2 linked regions of the Drosophila melanogaster genome follow. The protein of the gene in region 1 interacts with the protein of each later gene in a biochemical or structural test. Each region holds a gene or a part of one and is shown on either strand. Other genes may lie near its edges.

Evidence for each region.
Region 2: the proteins of Ilp2 (region 1) and ImpL2 form a complex in vitro, tested with the Drosophila melanogaster proteins (2 studies listed by BioGRID, with this or other methods).

Annotation. Positions count from the first base shown.
Region 1 is NT_037436.4:9,797,919-9,801,071, reverse strand, and holds Ilp2 (Insulin-like peptide 2), read right to left. Parts: upstream 1,375-3,153; 5' UTR 1,309-1,374; coding exon 1,146-1,308; intron 1,073-1,145; coding exon 822-1,072; 3' UTR 632-821; downstream 1-631. Other genes in the region: CG32052 (uncharacterized protein), read right to left, coding at 1,826-1,901; Ilp1 (Insulin-like peptide 1), read right to left, coding at 2,174-2,638. UniProt on the Drosophila melanogaster protein: Possible ligand of InR/insulin-like receptor. Plays a role in regulating body size by increasing cell size and cell number of individual organs.
Region 2 is NT_037436.4:4,224,156-4,227,948, reverse strand, and holds ImpL2 (Ecdysone-inducible gene L2), read left to right. Parts: upstream 1-1,998; 5' UTR 1,999-2,056; coding exon 2,057-2,065; intron 2,066-2,242; coding exon 2,243-3,022; intron 3,023-3,097; coding exon 3,098-3,112; 3' UTR 3,113-3,239; downstream 3,240-3,793. Other genes in the region: CG46460 (uncharacterized protein), read left to right, coding at 1,173-1,268. UniProt on the Drosophila melanogaster protein: Essential developmental role during embryogenesis, in particular the normal development of the nervous system. May be involved in some aspect of cell adhesion.

The sequences.
Region 1 (3,153 bases):
TTATTAATATTTTAGTTAATTTACTAAGATTATCCGTTTTGCACTTTTAATGCCTTGCATTTGGTAATGCGTGATTGTTATTTAAGGTCTGCATGAATTTAGTTGATTCCGTTTATTTTAGCTTTCAAAATGTAATAATCTTCTAATTTACAACTACACAGAACGATTAAATTATGAGTATTGCTATAAAATCGGCCAACCGCGACTAGAAATACTCGACTTTTAAGGTCAACATAAAAGTAAGTCAATGTTTTGATTATAAGATTTGATCAATTACTTCTTTACGGATGATATAATCATCGATAAACGAAGTACGAAAAAAGCTATGAACTAAAATTTGGAAATTTCCCACATGCGACTAACTTTTGAATTGCAATTGGATTGCCTACTGTATTAAGACAGAAACAAGTTTTGGAAATGAATGAATGGTTTAAATTGTTTCAAGTTTTTTTAAGATTTTTTTTGTTTTCAATAAATTTAGTTTTAATAGAAAAAAAGATATATTCATTTTAGATTTCTGAATACTTGTGTTATATCGCTTTTTATTCAAGTGTAATAATCAACATATATATCATATAATGATAATAATAAATGTAACGTCCCAAATTAATAATAATATAAAGTAGCATTTGCGATTGTTTGCCAAAGCTTAAAGCAGAATATATATTTAATCCATTTCGATCATTCGTAAAGAGTAACATGCAACAAGCTGTAAAAAACATCGATTGTAGTATATATGCACATGGTTGGTTTGGAACCAGATCCAGAGATAATCGCGTCGACCAGGTCAGTTGGGGTCAATGATTTTCGCATTAGGAGGCCTAATTTCTGACCACGGAGCAGTACTCCCGCAGAGCCTTCATATCACAGGACTTTTTGCAGCACCTCTCCACGATTCCTTGCCGTTGGCGAGTTCGCCTCCGGACTTCAGCCAGGGAATTGAGTACACCCCCAAGATAGCTCCCAGGAAAGAGGGCACTTCGCAGCGGTTCCGATATCGAGTTATCCTCCTCCTCGAACTCCTGGACAAACTGCAGGGGATTGAGGGCGTCCAGATCGCTGTCGGCACCGGCTAATAAAAATCGTGGATACAATGTAGATCTAGCAAAGCCAGCTTGAGGATCTGCATCCTTGTAAGAACTTACGCATGGCGCGCTTGTGTGGAATCACGGGATTATACTCCTCGCACACCATACTCAGCACCTCGTTGAGCTTTTCACTGCAGAGCGTTCCTTGGGCCAACTTCACTGTGGAGCTGGCCAGCAAAATCACGGCCACCATCGAGATGAAGGACAAAGGCTTGCTCATGGTTATGGGTTTACTGCTTAGGTTGCTTTACGATCAAATGGATTAAGTTGGGTCGAGCCGGGTCGAAAGCTAACTGATGATGTTTGGCCCAAAGTAACTGGCTTATATACTGCCTCGTAAGAAACTTAAACTGGGTCTGGGTCGGGGTCGGTCTCTCGGGGTCGGGGTCTGGATCCACACACATGTTATCCTCAAAAGTCAGGTTGTCAAATTGTGTTAGGATGCGATGAGTGCATTCCGGAGTTGGCTCTTCTCTCTAACGCCTGGCTAAACTCATTCAATGTCAAAGCTGACTTATGCAAATGGCTATTGGAAAATTGTGGGTGGTTTTTGGGTGGCTGTGTTTGGGAGAAGAAGGGCTTTGTGGGCGTTTTGCTGTCAGCCAATTAAACAATTTATGTATAAACAGCCAGGCCGTACTAAGCCCTGCATTTATGAATACCAAATAAGTCCTTGGTCTTAAAGTTACCTCGCCTTTACAGCCCGTTTGCCTCTACCATTTCTACCCTATACTTACCAATCCGCGCCTGGGCGCCCGGCAGGCCGGAGTAGGCCAACAAGAACCCGAGCCAGCTGATTGGAGCCAGCAGCATCCTGGCAACGAATTACGCCTCCTTGGTACTTTTCCTTTGACTGTCTTGTCTTTGCCGCTCACACAAATTCTTCTTTTTGCACTGTCTACTTTTATTCATTAGTCAAAGTTGGTGCTGCATAAATAAGTGATTACGAATTGGATTACGAATGCTGTTAGGAGAACGGGTGTACATATAGTATGTATGTGGGAATGCCATGTTCAAGTGTTCGTATGTATGTATGTATGTGTATGCATGCTGGGTAATGAATGTGTGTGTGTTGGCCAAGTGTCCTATTTCGGTAGACAGTAGATGGCTAACTCCAAGTAGCTGCAGGTCTTGACGCAGCACTCGTCGTAGACGCCACCGGTCAGGTGTCTCCTGTGGCGACGCATCTTGATCAGGACCTCGGATCCGTACAGATTGGTTAGCAGTGGACTAAAAGAGTATCCTGCCCCGTCCAGTGTCTGCCACATGCTGCTATCATCCTGCACCTCCTGCTCCGTGTCCTCGTCGTCGTCGCTGTTGCCCAGCAAGCTTTCACGTTTCCTTGGCAGCGTATTAAAGCCATGGGGACACACCACATCCATGGCATCGGACAGTGCGGGGCCGCAGAGTTTGTGGTTTCCGGGGGGCAGCAACTGGTGACCACTGCCAGTCGGCGTGACCATTGCCATTGCAGCGGTGAGCATGGCTGCGATGAGCAGCGACTGGAGCCGAAGGCCATGTACTGCTGCACCGTTGTGCTGGCTAAACATCTTGGATATGCAGTGAATGCTCTGGGCTGCAACTGGTATTTATACCACTAAATCGGAAGCGCTAGCTAATGCAGTTCAATGGCCTCTTCTGCAGTCTAGCATTGCAGTGGCATAGCAAGCCCCACGGGCGTACAAACTGCAAATCCTTTGATCACCCATGTTTCAGGTACCGTTTTTCCCCTAAAAATGCAAACTCTATTTCTAGCTCTACTCCCCAATTTGGATGGAAAAGCGATGCACTGTTGTTTTGGTAGTTGGGGTATTGTATTGTATTTCTTAGCAAATATCAGTTGTATCATTACCTATATCTATCTATACCAATAGTTTGGAATGTATTTGTAAGACATTTTTAAGATATTCAGAAGAGTTAGCCTTATGGGACTTGCTCTAAAGTGTGAATTGATGCACACAGCTTTATCGAGCATAGTTTTCAGTGTAATCACCGCCAAAAAATCCGCCCACTTCAAAGCATAACCCGTTCGCCCAACCTGTTACATTGCCGCTAAGAGGCTCTG
Region 2 (3,793 bases), 5.6 Mb from region 1:
TTAAGTTCTGATTCCCATGGGTGGTTATTAATTGGGAGATTGGTTATGGATTACAAAATTAATTCGTTCGAATGAATTCGAAACCATGGAGTTTTAATTAATGGTTTTGACAACTACAGTGCTAATTCAGTAAGCTAAACGAATAATATACGGTTGATACTTTGCACTTCGTCGAAATGATTCATGAATATTAACAGAGTAGTGTGAAGCACCTTTATATGTAGGGTTAATTAATTTTACTTACATGTGATAGAAAGTCATAGGATCTCGAACACTGTTGTATGTTCTCAACAACTTGCATAAGATGACAATGTTAATTGTCAAGATCGAAATGAAATGGTATATGGGCTGGAAAGTCATTGAGCTATCCTTGTGAGACACCTCAGTTTCCAAACCACCAACTCTGGACTGCGGACGCAATTAGGCGGTGGAAAGACAGATCCCGAGGCGGATAATCGAACCCCCCGTCCGGTTATATCTGTTTTGTTCCGCACCTTCCCGGTGCGGCGGTCGCATAAAGAATTACGATCCGAGAACGAGCAGAGAGAGAGCGGCGAGTGAGTGAGAGTGTGTGTGTGTGTGTCTGTTGTCTGTGTGTGTGTGTGAGTGAGCCGGCGTCGCATATAAATGGAACAGCGCTGCGGCCACCAATTCAGTTCTGTTACAGTTTCCAGCTGTTGAACACGACTTTTGAGAGCCGCCGAAGCCAACTGATCCGAAGTTAACTAAGCCGATCCGCGATCCTCGCTTTTCAATTCGCCGTGAACCGCATTCGCAGCAGCAATCCCCCCCAAAAACCAAAAACCAACACACCTTGACTCGAGTGTAATGTCGATGAACCGTGCGTATTCAAACGAGTGCCGCGCCAACCAGACAACCATCAAGAAGTACCAGACCAAGTCCACGTCCACATCGAAGGAGCACTGATACCGCCACGAGGATCGAATGTGCCAAAGTAGTCAGCTAGATATTCGCTACGCCGCCTGAGATTAACACGCTTCCGCTACCCAATTACTCGATCCTTATCCCGATCCTGAAGCGCCACTCCCGAGCACAGCACCCAGACGTTTCAATACGATCCATCCTCGTCGCCCAAGACAGACCGGCAAGCAGCCAAGATTCCACCAACACTGAGCTGCACGACCTCCAAGACGGCATCCAGCGCCGGACCTATGTCAGTGCTAAGCCAGCTGCTGCTCAACTTCAACCAGAAAGCCCAGACCAGGAGCCATCACAACATAGAGCTGATAAATTCGTTCATAACATAACGATAAGCCGACCTGCTTCTGCTTTACCTGATCTATCATCGTCCAACGTTGGGGAGAAATTTGCAAACATTTTTTACCGGAAGAGAAAAAAGAAATCAAATCAAAGGGTGAGTAATGTGCGTTAACAATAGATAGGTGATTGCCGCCGAACGCAGTTTCGTGTTCCGTTTTTCGTTTGTTTTTTTTTTTTCAAAATTCGAATTCGTAGAAATGCCCAAAGATACAAAAATCACCGTCGAAGGGCAAAGACCGTCTGATGCAACATTCGCCAGCGATTGGCGAATGACTTTTTGTGGGGCTACTACTAATTCATACATACAAGCGTATGTACATACATAATACCCTCGAAACTATTTGAATAATTAATCGGTCACGCAGTTTGTCCAGTCTAGACTATGGGGACACATTGGCCCTTGATCTGCGGCTGAAGCGTGGGTGAGTGTGTGAATCCGAATCGGGCTGTAGAATTCGAATTTAAATTGACGTCACACTCCGCGAGTCATTCCGTTTTCCGTTTTCGATTTCTGCCTCTGATTCGGCCCACGCAAGAATCTTATATCATTTTCTTTTGTCAATTCTTGTTGTCTGGTGACGTGTCATTGTGAAATACATTCATCTACGTTTGGACCGAGCACATCTCTTAGGGGCCGGAAAAGGATTCCGAATCTAAATTCCGGACTCCGAGAGCCATTAGCACATTTCGCAAGTGTTAGTAATGTTCTAGAGCCCGCCGACTGAAGGCCTTGCGTTCTTATCGGGGAAATAGACTCGGAGACCTCCCCTGATTAATGGAGGCGGTGATGAGTGGGGGAAGTGGGGTGGTGGGGTGGTGGGGGGATGCATGACTGGCTGAAAAGTCGGGCTAATCGCATCACGTTGCTCTGGGGTTTAATAACCTATATTAGAGTCGTACGAGTGCCGCTGTTGAACTTTGAACTCACTTCCGATTTCCACTCTCTCTATCGATCTTGCAGAAAATGAATTTACATGTGTGCGCCTTAGCGCTGCTGCTGTTCGGCAGCATCGCCACTGTCCGCGGAAGAGCCGTGGACCTGGTAGACGATAGCAACGACGTGGATAACTCCATCGAGGCGGAGGAGGAGAAGCCACGCAACCGAGCCTTCGAAGCCGACTGGCTCAAGTTCACCAAGACGCCGCCGACGAAGCTGCAGCAGGCCGATGGAGCCACCATCGAGATCGTTTGCGAGATGATGGGCTCCCAAGTGCCCAGCATCCAGTGGGTGGTGGGTCACCTGCCCCGCTCGGAGCTCGATGATCTGGACTCCAACCAGGTTGCCGAAGAGGCGCCCAGTGCCATTGTGCGCGTCCGATCGTCGCATATCATCGACCACGTGCTGAGCGAGGCCCGCACCTACACGTGTGTGGGACGCACTGGCTCCAAGACCATCTATGCCAGCACTGTGGTGCATCCTCCTCGCTCCTCTCGTCTGACGCCGGAGAAGACCTACCCGGGTGCCCAGAAACCGCGAATCATCTACACCGAGAAGACGCATCTGGACCTCATGGGCTCCAACATTCAGCTGCCCTGCCGCGTGCACGCCCGTCCCCGCGCCGAGATCACCTGGTTGAATAACGAGAACAAGGAGATCGTCCAAGGACATCGCCACAGGGTGCTGGCCAACGGCGATCTTCTGATCTCCGAGATCAAGTGGGAGGATATGGGCAACTACAAGTGCATAGCCCGCAACGTCGTCGGAAAGGATACCGCCGATACCTTCGTGTATCCCGTACTTGTAAGTATTCCCCTACCCGCCGGGTTATACCAACTCATCCTAAGTAATCCCTACGTATTTTTCTTGTCCTTGCAGAATGAGGAAGACTAAAGATCCTACCACCAAATAAAAAACAAAAGGCTATTGGATTGACGACGGAAATTCATCTAGTTAGTTAGATAGATCAAATGCCTTCGAAGATGCGTGAAAAGAAATGAAATATGCTTAGAAAAAATACAAAAAAAAAAAAATCAAAAAAAAATATGATGGATCAAAAGGTCATACGATTTACAATTATGTACAATTTAGATTAAGCACAATCTAGCTCGTAGTCCAGGTAATTAACCGTATCTAATGCCGGCTTAGACACTAATTTTCCCACTTATTATCCTCGAATATCAGTCACATTTAGAGCATTCGAATTATAGCACCTACTTTATGGTTTTCTTCAATTATAGCTTTAGTTATCGGCTTGTAATCACGCTTCTTTGGTTCTTTGTAAGTAGCAATGATTGTTCCTAGCGATTCAGGCAGCACTAGTTAACGTATTTAAACTAATTGGCCGTTTACTTAAGGGCACTGCAGCCCAAGAAGCACTTATGACTCGTGGCACAAGCCACAGTCAATCAACCAATCAATCAGTCAATCACCCACCCAATTCGTATTTATGTGCACCCATCATTTCTACAACTAATTTATTGATCGACCAAATTCATTCAGCATCGCCACCCATACAGAATCACTGAATAGTATTCACGGAATTAATCAGTTTCATAAGCTACCCGACTATGT